Linked DNA regions of Oreochromis niloticus. The protein of the gene in region 1 interacts with the protein of each later gene in a biochemical or structural test. Links are inferred from orthologs where the notes say so. Each region holds a gene or a part of one and is shown in the gene's direction. Other genes may lie near its edges.

Region 1 (6,921 bases):
AGCAACTAGAATAATAATAAAGTATAAAGAGAAACAGGAACTCAATAGTGTGGATGCCTTTGAGGGCATCCACACAAATAAATTCTAACAACAGCTTATCAAGCTTAAATGTGCTGTTGTTGTTAAGCTGCTGGTTTCCTTTTTCTGGTGCAAAGTGGGCCAAAAACAAACAAGGAGTCGCGACAGAAAAGCTGATCAGCTGATCATTGATCAGTTTCATGATTGAAGTAGCAGCAGCAGAGGGAGGGAGAGGGAAGAGGCAGTCGCTCCATATATCGGTTGTTAAGCTTAACGTGGGAATGCTTTACAAACATTCAGAGATGAACTTACACCCTTACTTCTCTCTGGGATAACTTTCTCGGAGATGAAATGCCGGTTTGGTAGCAAGGCTCCAAATGCTCAACCAGACCGCCGACAGGTCTCGCACGCCACAGCCGCTCTATCACGTGACGCATACTGCTCCGACGTGCTAAGGTTATGAGCTGAGTTACGCCATGTCACAAGTTTTGTGAGGTGCTTTCGTGATATTTAATGGATCAGATTACATTTTTTATTTCTCTCCGATATCCGATCCAGTAATTTAGGTCAGTATCGGACCGATACCGATATGTAATATCGGATCGGTCCATCTCTAGTTTGTACATGCTCCAGATAGCTTTTCTTCAAATTCTTTAATTCTCACTCGCTTTTGCGCATGCGCAGGACGGGAACGTAAGCATTTTCATCCGCTTCAATGTGGACGCACAACACTGTGAAAACGACTGAAAACGCTAGTGTGGACGCGGAGCGTTTTCAGATGAAAATGCCGTTTTCAAATCTATCCGGGCTAGTGTGGACGTAGCCTTAGTGAGTTTGTGATCTGTGCAGATGTGTGACTTTTTACACTTTGTCACTGACATGCACACACCTCTTCTGTGCTGCTTTTCCTAATTTGGCCACATATTGCATGCCTTGCTTTAGTTCTGAGTTTTTCTTGAGGCTTGTGGTCGGTGGTAAACTCTTCTGTCTTCTGAAATGTTTGCTCTCTTTTAGCGACACAAATACACAGTGATGGTGTATAAGGCACTGCCCTAGCTATTGAGAACAAACTGGGGTTCAGATTTTATATATTTTTAAAAAAGCAATGTAGACCATGAACATTAAAAATTGAGTTGAGAATAATACATGCAGCCCATCTTGTATGTGATTTCAGGAGGTAAAGTTGATGTTCCCTGGGGCCCAGCGAATGAACAGAGGAAATCATGAGATCCCTGCATTGGTACGAGCCTGCAAAGCTAACAGTGTTACTGACCTCGTCATCGTGCATGAGACAAGAGGACAGCCAGGTATACTCGCTTTATTCACTTATTCATTTAGCTACAAAGTCCACCCTCATTAACCCCACACTCAGTCATTTTGTTCTACAGGCAGGCCTGAAATATGACAGAAATGTTCAGTTCAGTAGAGCTTTAATGGTTACTCCCACTCAGCTTTCATGGGGTAAAGAGTTAAAGGACTATGTAGTCTTGTGTTCTGTATGCACAACATCCACCAACAGTGCTAAAACTGGTTGGTGGTTTCAGACCACATTGTACAGCTTGTTCATACATCCATTGCACATGTGCATCGCTGTTTTTTTTTCCTCCTAGCTGCCCTGTAGTCTTCACATTAGGTCAACACTAGAGAAACAAACACTGTTTCTTTACCAGTATGAAAACTCTACACTTTTAAATTTCATAATGGAGTGTTTTGGGTTTTTTTTTTTTAACTCTCAGTATTGACCATAATATTTGTTATTTTGCTTAGTTGGTTTTTTTTTTGTTCTTATATATTTACAGATGGCCTGGTGGTGTGTCATTTGCCATTTGGCCCAACAGCTTATTTCACTCTTTACAACGTGGTAATGAGGCACGATGTTCCCGACATAGGCACCATGTCTGAGGCCTACCCCCACCTCATTTTTCACAACTTCACCTCACGGCTCGGCAAGAGGGTGAGTGAGTGAGTGCTGGACAGCACATGCCTTGGATATTCTTTTTCACCACTTGTTTGTGTGTACAACTAATTAATTCTACTCACGCAGGTATCCAATATCCTCAAGTATCTTTTTCCAGTGCCAAAGGAGGACAGCAGGCGTGTGATCACATTCGCCAACCAAGAAGACTTCATCTCTTTTAGGTGAGCATCAAAAGTGAAAATGTCATATAAACAAAATGCTATTTGGGTTAAGGAGTAAGATGTGATGCATTTATTTTTAACAGACATCACACCTATAAGAAAACAGACCACAAGAACATAGAGCTGACGGAAGTAGGGCCTAGGTTTGAAATGAAATGTAAGTATGGAAAGTTACCGCTGTTCAGAGACTGAATTAACCATTGTTGACGTGGTTATATCTTCTCTGGAAATTCTTTGTTTTTCCATCTGTCACTACTTGATCCATATCAGAAATCTGATATGGAAGATTTGTTTTTGGAAGTTTAAAAATGTATAGTGAAAATATGTAGCTTCAATGCTTAATATAAATCATTGTGAACATTGTATACTAATGTGCAACACCAGGAAGAAAAAAGATTTATTTATAAGTGATTGGAAGTAAGAGCATTCAGGGGAAACTCCAGTTGTAGAAAGAATGGATTACTATCCTCTGCTCTGTACAAATTTTCTTTGGGCTCGTTAAATATTAACACCACATCCTCTTTCTATTTAGTGTATATGATCAAACTAGGCACCCTGGAGAACGAGGGCACCGCAGATGTGGAGTGGCGTCACCATGCATATACACACACAGCCAAGAAAAGAAGATTCCTTAGCATTGAATAGGAACTGAGTCATCGTCTGGAATTATAAAATAATATGTGATTTTTGTTAAAGGAGCGTAACGAGGGATGACAAGTCCAAGTGTAGTCAACAGCTCTGGATGTCTACAGTGATGAGGAATAGGACAGCTGAGCTCAAGTAGATTGAGCCTTGTTTTTTATGACAACCCTATTTGTAGGGTTATATATACAGTATAAAGCATTGCATTCTATATGGTTATTCTAACTTTTATGCTGTTTTGTAATAAAGAGTTTACTTGATCTGCAATTGAGTGTCTGTCTTTTTTTTTTCTTCTTTTTTTTAAAATATATATATATTTTTACACCAATCTGCCTTCTTCTTTCGGGTCTTTGTCTTCTGCTCCTGGCTGACATTCTTTGTCCAACATATCTGCCGTCACTCTGTAAATGTCCAAAATATCTCAGCCTTGCTTCTCTAACTTTGTCTTCCAAACGCTCAGCCTGAGCTGCCCCTCAGGCTGTACTCCTTTCTAATCTTATCCACTCTGATCATTCCAATGAAAACCTTTGCATCCTCGACCCACCTCCAGCTGGGCCTGCTGTCTGTCTTGCCTCTGCCTTTCCTCAATTCCTCTTTTTGATGTCCGAAGTCGTTCTGCAGACTGCTACCTCAACTACATTCTCCCCTGCCACTACAGTCTCCTGTCTCTTTCAGATTAAACCATAAAATGTATTCCACCTGTGTATGCCTTTCTCCACTCTTTTGTCACCCTTTGTGCCTCTCTCTTCTTAAAGTAATGTTTCACCACAGAGATTTTTATCCTTTTTTCAGTACCAATTTGCCAAAATGACACATCCGCAAATACGTGTTAAGTGTCTGAACAGTGCACTAGTATGCATTTATACTTGTGTCAGTAGAACTAGTACAATCTTGTAGCAGTTTTTAAAATTAATTAATTTACTCGTGATCAAAATATAATTACAAAACAGATGAACATTTGTCATTTCCACCGGTTTTAACGCTGAACAATAATCACAGGTGTATATACTCTTGCTGTAGTATACATGTATCGTTACACAGCAGCTCCCACCGTTTGGATTGCAGCTTCTATCCAATGAAAGAACGCGCCTACAAAAGTTGACCAATGAGCATAGAGCATTTATGGAGTTTTTCCGCTTTCCCCTGAAGTTCTTGACAGATTCGCCTCCAGATTGCGAGAATTCAAGATGGCCGTTACAGGTACGAGTTTAACTTTTTATTTATCCCAACTGTTTCAGAACACCGAGACGAAAGGAGATTTTGCTGTTACCGTAAGCACTACATAGCAAAATCTGGACCGTCCTGTGTTGAGCATGTCAAAGAAATTATTCGCTGCATATCTGAAAAGAGACTAAGTAGGCACCAGCCTGACGCCGTGGTAAAACCCCTAAGTTTGCTAACCTTAGCAGGCTGGGACTAGCGTTAAAGCTTTTAACTGTAAACTGCGCTAGTGACTGAAGCAGCCACATAATCTCTCCCGTTCCAACTAATGCTAATGCTTAGCTATGCTAGTTTGCTAGCTGGTTGAGCGAAGAGGAATTTCCGAAAACTATGATTCCTTTGCTTTGTAGGAATTATGTTTGCATTATATCGCTTCGCACCTCCTTACTACAAATTACCTTGAAAGACAGTCAGCTAGTTAGCCGGAGACGATTAACTCGCGCCCCAAGAGGAACATGGCTTCCCCAAACTCGAAATGTCATTTTACAAGGCAGTCAAACCATGCTAGGCTACCGGGCTAATATGAGCTAGCGTTAGCATCTTTCGACTGTTAAGCAAATGTGCAACTTTGTTTGTCAGCGGTTTGTTTCAGTGTTAATTCAAAGCTCGCCAGGTCTCAAGTATGAGCTACAACGTTTAGAAAAAGTTAGTTCTTGCTCTTGTAGGCAACTTTGCGAACACCTTAGTTGTTGGTGCCACTGGATTACAAGCTAACCGGTATATGAGACAGTGTTGTATCACCACAATTCAAAACTCAGGAAAAAGCTTTCGCGAGGTTTTAGTGTTTGGGTTAATCAAACAACTGTTGTTTTCAACAACACTTTAAATTCAAAGTATGTGATTTTTCCCGAACTTTAAACTTTTTACTAGCGTGTTGTATAGTAGTTGAGACAGAAAATATCACTCCCTCTTACTCATTTAATTGATTTTTATCCAAAAGAAATGGAAAAAGAGGGTGAAGACGAGTGCCAGGGGAGATTCGTGACAGAAAGACTGGAGCAAGATTGAAAGGTGTTTACAAGGTGGTAGTGAGAGCTGCTATAATGTATAGTTTGGAGACGTTAACATTTTCATTAGCAGTGACTATGATGGACAAAATTAGAAATGAGTGCATCCAAGAGACCCCTCAGGTTGAGCGGTTTGAAGACAAAGTTGGCCAAGGCTGAGATGATTTGGACATGTGCAGAGGAGGGATGGTGAACACAGGATGTTGAAGATGGAGCTTCTAGGCAAGGAGAAAAAAGAGGAAGGTTTGGGGATGTTGTGAAGGAGAGGGATACAGAGGGTTCGTGTGATAGACGAGGATGCTAGGGAATGAGGTTTATTGGAGGCAGATTTTCTGCTATGCGACCCCTAAAGAGAGCTGTCAAAAATTTATTTATAGTATTCTTTTAACATTAATTACCAATTAATGATATTAATGTTTATATAAGTATTTAAAATCTGCGCATTATCAATTTTATCATACCTATGTGCACTTTTTCATATTCTGTTTGTGTTTATGTAGGTTCTAGGTAAAGGACAAACTCCTCTGGACCCCACTGTGCATGAAGCTCTCCTGAGGCTTTGGTGTCCAAGTACTGTGTCTTCCCTTCCCCCCTGCCCTCCCCCAATTCCCTCCTGCCTCTCACCATGTCCTCCACCTCCTCCTCCTACTCCTCCTCAGGGGAGACCAGTCCAGAGGATCCACCCCGAGGTGGAGGAACCATCCGAGTCTACCTCCCCAACAAACAGAGGACAGTGGTGAGATGCTTTGCTCCATGTTTGTCTTGACCAATGACATTTTTTTATATTAAACATTGTAACTATAAACAGTGCCTTGTTTGATAGAAAACAATTGACATTTAACACTTCTGTAGGAGAGAGGAAAAAATCTTCCATCACTGTTGGCTGTAACTGTAATTGCACCGAGTTTGAAATCTTTCAGAATGTGCTAATGAGTAAGCTAGTGGACAGTTGGTATCGGGTTTCTCAGATGGTGTCTGCCACCATCGTCATTTAATTTGACTTGTAATTCCTGTTAGATTTCAAGTTTTCATACACTGAAGCGTAGCTGTTGCATAGTCCTGTCACAATGTCAGTGTTAAATTTAGTGAATAGGGGCAGCAGTGTAGAGGACACTGTATTCATGGCATTATCCAACATTCTCTGTAAAATGGGATTCATGTAGGAGCATTCTCCTTTTAAATCCTCAGTGTTTACAGGTGAGTTTTACTAGCTGTACAGATCTTTCCAAAGCAGATCAAACTGAGCTTTTTCCTTCTCTGCTGGACCTTTTTTGTAAAAAGAATGAGCACACGTGCTAAATCTGTGTAGTATTAGCAGACATTATAAGGGAGAGACATGACACTCAGTCCCGAATAGAAATGTAAGGAAGAACTGAGTAACTGTGAAGAGGTTGGTTATTGAGCCCCTGCCTCCAAACCAGCCACAAAATGAGAGAACCTATTGGCCAATTGTGATGTGCTAACATGAGCACACAGCTGACGTTTGACAGTTCCACATGTGTGGTGGCAAGGGTATGTCACTACATATTATTGTAGCAGACAAGTAGGAAGGTGCTTTCTTACTTTTTGAGATAATATGAAGTGCTGTGTTGTTATTTTTTTAAAATGTAAATAAATGGACTTATTCTTATATAGCGCTTTTCTACTCTCACGGAGTACTCAAAGCGCTCTATAATTTGGTTATCCCAATGAAGAAAAACTAAGGTGTTGATTGTGTTGGCTCTGTCGACCAAGCAGTTAATGCCATGATGATGTGTAAATTGAAGTTGTATTTATTTTTTTTAAATGACGTTTGGTTGGTGATTCAGTACATGTTTTTTATCTTCAGGTGACTATTGAAATAAAAGGTTTTATGGAGAGGTTCATTTAGATGGGGTCTTCAGCCTAAGTTAGC
Region 2 (7,156 bases), on another chromosome or scaffold:
CTAATGAGGTTTATTTCTCTTCCCAAAACTGAACCGGGATCTTTCCTTGTTTGAAATTTATTAAAAAAGAAATTCCAAAAGGCTCCAACTGCACATGCACAGCTCAGGCTTAGCAGACTCAAATTGGCTCCATTCATCTGACTACATGACTACACCCCTAACTAAATCATCCAGGTAGATGAGTTATTAAAGAATTTGTTGTTACGAGAGGGTAAACTTTCCATAGAGGCCAATGTGCTTTAAATGTGCTTTTTAATGCTTTAAACCTGCACATTTTAACATAGGAGTCAATGAGGCTAGACTCCCTTTTAGAGTCTGCTTCAAGTGGCCACTTGAGGAACTGCAAGTTAAAATGTATTGTCCTGCAATGTGCTTATAAACTATAATATAATTTTACATGCAAATATGGTAAACTGACTTGACTTGACAAAACTGCAATGTGAACCAATGTCTTCTGTTTACTGATATCAGTGTGTTGAACTAACGACGCTTTTGCCTGCTGCACAACCTCAATTTCATTACATTTTTACAATTTTAAGTGTAATATTCAATTTGTAATAATCACTCAGTTATGTCAGCAAACGCCTGCCTGTGTCTATTTCAACATCTAACTGAGTTTCAGCTGAAACTTTGAAGGCATCTGAAATGAGTAAAGACTGAGCACATTTTTGGATTTCCTTAAATCTTTACAAACTATATAAATAAAGATGGATTTGCTTTGAAGTCAGCCAAGTAAAATGTTTCATAGGAGGGAATGGATGATGCTTTATGGGCTGTAAAACCATGATACTGTGTCCCAGTAAGATTTGGATGAGGAGATGCCAGTCCAAATTAAAACAACACAAATGAAATCAAATTTAAACTGTGGCTGCGAACACTATCAGCTCGTCCAAATGGACTCTCTCTGTTGGACCTCACTCCTCCTCGCAGCCCGCCCCCACCTCCGCGTTTGCTGCTTCGTCCAGCTGGCTGGTTTCGGCTGAGTCCACTTCCTTTTGACTCACATCACCGTCTTGGTAACGGCGGACAGTTGGTGGGCAGAAAGACGTCTCCAACGGTGCTGGAGGTCCGCAGACCCAACTGGCGTGTGTGTGAGAGAGATTATTCTTGTAGTGAAACTAGCCCTGAAACAACCTGGATCCCGTGGATGATTACACTCAGACAAGCTGGCAGGGACACTGTGGAGCAGAGGGTCTCCTGTTGGTTTGGCTGAGCGAGAGGCTTGGCCTGGCTGGTCCAGGCATGGATGCTACGCTTTGGCTTGCTCAACAGAGAAGAAGTGAAAGAGTGGAGAGAGTGAATGAGGCGAAGGCATGCAGCCCGAGGAAGTGTGTTGAAGACAAAGACAGGCTGTCTTGTAACTACTCTGTAACTACTTTTATTAAACTGAGCTTGTTTCAGTGTGAGTTTCACTCGCTCACATATTTACACAAATTTGCTGGAAACTACACTTTGTAGCCCCAGTCTTCTCTGCATGCCGGCACATCAGACTTCATTCTTCATTACTTCACTCTCTCCCAGTAAATGGCACAGATTTGGACTACATCCGTTTGCACAGGTTAAGCTGTAGACTAATTAGTTTAACATTTAAACTAGTTTGTGTTGTATTTACACATCTTGTTTGATTTTTCAACATATAATGGTGCTTTAACTCTGATTTGACATATCGCAACAACATTTTGATTTAAATTATTATATAACAACACAGTGCCAGAGTCATACCTCCTCTTTTTTCAGTTTTCCAGTGTAGTCAGGCTTGCAGATGTATTTTAATTTCCACCCATTTTCATCCACTCATCCAATTCAGGGTCATGGTGGGCTGGCGCATATTCCAGCTGTCATGGGTACACCCTGGGGAGCTTGTCAGTCTGTCGCAGGCAGATAACCATTCACACTCACACCTTCGGCCAATTCAGAATCACCAATAAGTCTAACAAGCACTCTTTGCACTATGGAAGGAAACCAGAGTACCCACACAGTTCCACACAGAAAAGTCAGAGGAGATGTTGTGTGCAGTCTGCATGTTCTCCCCATGTCTCTGAGAGCATAAAGGGAACAGGGGACCCTAACTCTTGGGTGCTACTCAAATATTGTGGTTTGATGTGTTTAAATGAGGCAAAATCTGTTAATCTGTTTAGGGGCAGCAGGGTCTGGTGCAGCAGGTCTTGAGTTTGAATCCACTGTCTGGCCAGCACCTTGTCATGCATGTTAGGTTAACTAGTGATTCTCAATTAGCTGTGCATGCGAATGTGAGCATGAATGAGTCCTTTGGTGGACTGGCAACCTGTCCTCTCACTCCATGACAGCTGGGGTAAGCCACACACCTCTCATCCTGTAACCCTAAAAAGAATAAGAAGTAAAGAAAATAGAGGGATGGCCTGATTTACACATACAGTAAGAAGTTAAATTGGTAATATCCAGTAGGTGGATTGTGTCCAACTCAATTACACACAATATAGAAAAATGCAAGGTTTGTCTGCTTGCTGTGTTTGTTTGAAATTCCATTGATCACTAAACACATGGTCAGATTTCGAGGCTCTTGGGAAAATATTTAGATCAAAATTGTAAAAACTGTGAGCTTCTTAAAGACGTGAAAGTAAAACAAAATAAATTGTTGGAAATGGAAAAGCTGAAATCATGAGCTTTATGATGCACTGCAGCAATATGGATAAAAATCAGTGTCAGTAAAGACCGATTTCTGGTCTGAGCTATAACTGACAAATTACAGACCACGAATCGGAAATCTGATTGGACTAATTCAACTAAAGAAAATCGTCTGAATATCTTGAGATGGATCTAAGCTGCATAAGCTCAGAAAAATCATGAGACTACTGCAAACTAATGCACTAAACTTAATTGTTTCATTTAAAATGTGGATGCAGCAAGAACTTTATAGTTTTATTGTGATTTTTTTCAATCATTTTAAACATTTTGATTAGCCAGTGTGACTTTCTTTCAGGATTTGGGACCATTTTAAAAGAGAAAATGTGTAGCTGTATAAAACTGCAGATCATCTTGGTGTGTGCAGTCACACAAGCCACAGTATTCCTTGGCAACACTCCGACTCAAGAGTATTCAGTATCATTAATACCTCATTACATGTTAACATGAGTACTCAATACTTAGTGCAGCATTCAGTGTCCTTTTTGTGAAGGTAGCTTGCAGTGTTGCAATGTTATTTTACATCGTGAGCCACTTACGACCCACTTTGTTCTTAAGTGGGCTGGACCAGTGAAACTCACCTGTTTGTCAGTGTAAAGAAATTTAACTACACATTTAATCCTAGAGATATTTTAATTGAAGAAAAAGAAGAGCAGTTTTTCTACTTGATACAGAAATGCTTCAGCAGTAAATGAAAGACGTCTGTCAGCACAACTCTTCGGCTTAAATTCTGAAAAACAAACATGTAAAATGACAGAGAGCCCAGACTGTCTGGCAGTGAAAAAACATTAACTTTCTGTCATTTAATTCTTTACCTGTTACTTATTTACTTCAGTGTAGTATGAATTTCCACTGGTGAGGACTTCAGGAGAAAAGCTGCAAAAATGATGAAAACAAAGATAAATGTCCGAAATTTAATTTGCCAAAGTCGCCCAGCAAGCCAGATTGGAGCCTTTGGTGGGCTGATTCTGGCCCCCATGCCTTATGTTTGACACCCCTGATCTAGTACTCAAACTGCCTCTGTCTCCTATTTTTGCTACACTAATGCCTGCAGACCGACACTCACAAACAGCATCAGCTATGCCACGAAGGTAAAGTGGACTTTTGTACCTCCTGCTTCATACACTCTTAAAAATTAAACAGGGTGTGCAACAGGGGTATAAAGTGCACGAGCCAATAGCCCCTTGGGTGCCCCACTTTACTCAGTGCTAATGGGCCACAGGTATCTTTGACCTTGGCCTGTAAACTTTTGTGACGACATGTAAAGTCTGTGTGACGCTGACAATAAACCATCCACAAACAGAGCTGTAAAAGTGCTCAAACCGAGCAGGACCACATTTCCCAGTGATGACGCACACACACACACGAACAGCAGGAGAAAACATCACGAGCAGCGCTAATTGTTTCTGCTTTCCTTCTATATGTATTTCCTTCCGTCTGCTAACGCCCCCTGTCGGGCATCATCAGTAGCGGCGCCCCCCCCTCAGCAGTCTGGCCGTCCCAGCGCCGCCCGCAGGAGCTTCCAAGTTCACAAACCGCTGGCTGTGTTTGGATAGTTTGGATAGCTGTCCCACGGAGTCAGATACCACAGCCTCAGCGTTGTTACAGTTGTTGCGCTTTGGATGGACATACGGACTCCATGTCAACTTTCTGTTTTTGTTTTCTGGCCTCTAACATTTAAGCGTTTAAACTTTCTTTTGTTGCTTTCTGGCTTTGTTTCTGTATCCAGAGTGATTTCTGTGGATGGCGAGGTCTAACCAAGATGGACACGGACTGTCTGCCGGTTGAAGACTAGATAACGGCTTCTCAAACTAAATGTAGACTTTATTTTTTTACGCGTCTTTATCGTGTTTATCCGTGAACTTTGTAGTCGGACCATTTCCATCCCGGGAGTGGGGGGTCACAATCCTATAATGAACATTTTCCCACTGGAGTTTCGGTAAACTTTTCCCACGACTCGCCATGTCGGGAGTGGTCCGCACCCTGAGCCGCTGTCTGCTCCCGGCCGAGGCCAGCCGGGACCCCGGCGGCAGCAAGGAGAGAAGCCGGGAGAGAGACGCGGCGCAAGAGCGGGAGGCGAGGCGCAGGAGTCGGGAGATAGACGCGATGATCGCCCGGGAGAGGAGAGCCATTCGGCGACTGGTGAAGATCCTCCTGCTCGGGGCCGGGGAGAGCGGAAAGTCCACATTCCTCAAACAGATGCGCATCATTAACGGGCAGGAGTTTGATCAGAAGGCACTTCTGGATTTCCGGGACACAATCTATGAGAATATACTGAAGGTAAAGACGAGGCTCGAGGGGGCCTTCACCCTCCACATATCTAATGTTTGCCGTGTTTGTTAAACATCCAAAGCGTGTTTTATAAGAGAAGGACAACAGTGAGGGGGCATTTTGAAAGTTTTCACAAGTAATTGACACTTTAGGTCACTGTGGCTCTAACTATTCAGATTTTTAAATTAGTTGCTTTTGTCTTCGCTTTTATAATAAATCTGATTGATTTGCATTTTTTAAGACAGTCAGGCAAAACCTTTTCTGAAGAAAATCAAGATGATGGGAACAATTTATATCTGCAGCCCTGGGCCATTAGTGACTAAGGTTCACACACTTATTTAAACACACACAGAGGTCTGTTGACATAGTGCATATTTTTATCCTGAAGTGAGTCTATGTGTGTGTGTGTGTGTGTGTGTGTGTGTGTGTGTGTGTGTGTGCGTCCTGTCCCTTTGTTTGCTGTCATGGCTGGGCCTCCTTCACCAGCTAACAATACCAGACTATTCCTGAGGGATGAGCACATCCGCCCTGAGTGCCACACAGCCCAGACAAGGATGATAAGAGCCTGCACTTCTGCACAGACAAGACAGTATTCAGTACCCTCCCCCAAACACAAGTATACAGTGACCGTCCTGCCTCGGGCCAGATCAAGAACACAATCTTCCCACACACCCACACTTTACCAGCAGCCAAACTCCAGAAAACACACACAATGCGCGATGTGTAGGAGCTGATAGTCCAGGCCAAAACTACCAGCTATTACCCCGCTTAAAACATCTGTAATTCCCTCACCAGCGCTGCGGTCATTCGTCATCTGAAGTATATAAAGAGCGAATGTTAGTATTAGGGTAGTAAGTGGAAGTTATTTTCATTAATGATTAATCGTTTCTGTTTTATTCCTCTGTTCAGTGTCTACTCTTTTCCCCATCTTTTTGGATGTGACTTTTTCTTTGCAACTCTGCACAGAAGGCCACAATCCTGGAGTGACCTCACCACTGCGAGAACAAAAAAAAGCTTCTGGTTGAGAAGTGATGCACTCTTGCTCAGTTGCAGATTCACGCTCCTTTTTAGTGTGCTGTTTGCTTAAGAGAGTAGCACACGTGGTTGTAAAATCTGGAGTTTATTGGAGGTTCATGCAGGCAAATTGTGTGATGCTCGCGCATACTCGACGTTTATGGCTTCTTTAATCAGCACAAGCTGTGCTAACATAATTGGAAAAAGGTTTTACCGATGATCAATCAGCCCTGTAACGTGATAAACGTTCACTGGGCGACATAATGTGCCACTGAAGAAGGACTGATGGCTGCTGGAAACAGGCCTTTGAGCCTCTATGTAGATGATACAATAACAATAATAACTAATTTATCATCAGTGAATTATTGAATTAATGGGCATTAATGGGCATTAAAATCATATCTGGATAATTTGGTGTTGGAAAACGAGGACATTTTGAAGCAATCCCAGCTTAACCGCACTTTACAAATAAAAGCAAATGCTGTAAATGGCTATCATCCCAACACTGGATCCTTTCCAAACATGTCGAAGCAGTAAGCCTCCGACCTAAATTTCATTTTGAAGAAGACGAAAAAGTCACAAGAGGCCAAATCTGTTGATCCGTTTGAATATCGGATGAAGATCGCGTTGGATTTTTGGCCTTCAAATCAATGTAGTGTGAATAATATGGCGTGCACCATGATCAGACACCTCACCGACGTCACGCTGACAGTTCCCGTGAATGTTAAAAAAAGAATACGGCACATTCCCGGTCGTGCTCCTGACATGATGTGCCTTCTTTGAGTTTGGACGCCGCTGTTTGGATTTCCCACATCACAAAGGGAAAACAGCCAATCGTTTGCTAGATGCGGTTGTTGGTGGAAGATCAGTGTCACCTACCAGGTGTAGTGGGGAACCCCCTGTTTTATGGGAACCTATCGATAAGGAGCGAGAGAGCAAAGTGGGAAAGGAAGGAAAGAAGGGCGGATAAAGCTGAAAGAGAATGCACAGGTGTGCTGCACAATTAGGCCTGCAGAAATAAACAGCGGAGAGGTGGAGCTCAGGTGCGGTCTGAGTAATTATCTCATCAAGCAGTGGATAGAGCTGTGGTTTAACCATTGTCAGAGGTGAACCATATGTTCCTCACACACTGAAGTGAAACAAACAAAAAAACCCCTCTGATCTAAGTTAGCCTTAACTAGAAAGTAAATGATCACCGAGTCGTTTTTGA

What was found.
Region 2: the proteins of araf (region 1) and gna12a form a complex in vitro, tested with the Homo sapiens proteins (2 studies listed by BioGRID). The link is inferred for Oreochromis niloticus from reciprocal best matches to the Homo sapiens genes ARAF and GNA12.

Annotation. Positions count from the first base shown.
Region 1 is NC_031977.2:3,349,364-3,356,284, forward strand, and holds the start of araf (serine/threonine-protein kinase A-Raf), read left to right. Parts: upstream 1-3,907; 5' UTR 3,908-3,999; intron 4,000-5,527; 5' UTR 5,528-5,652; coding exon 5,653-5,763; intron 5,764-6,921. Other genes in the region: U3 small nucleolar ribonucleoprotein IMP4, read left to right, coding at 1,193-1,325, 1,818-1,972, 2,063-2,157, 2,241-2,314, 2,690-2,802. UniProt on the Homo sapiens protein: Involved in the transduction of mitogenic signals from the cell membrane to the nucleus. May also regulate the TOR signaling cascade. Phosphorylates PFKFB2.
Region 2 is NC_031971.2:13,352,421-13,359,576, forward strand, and holds the start of gna12a (guanine nucleotide-binding protein subunit alpha-12a), read left to right. Parts: upstream 1-4,137; 5' UTR 4,138-4,623; coding exon 4,624-4,941; intron 4,942-7,156. UniProt on the Homo sapiens protein: Guanine nucleotide-binding proteins (G proteins) are involved as modulators or transducers in various transmembrane signaling systems. Activates effector molecule RhoA by binding and activating RhoGEFs (ARHGEF12/LARG).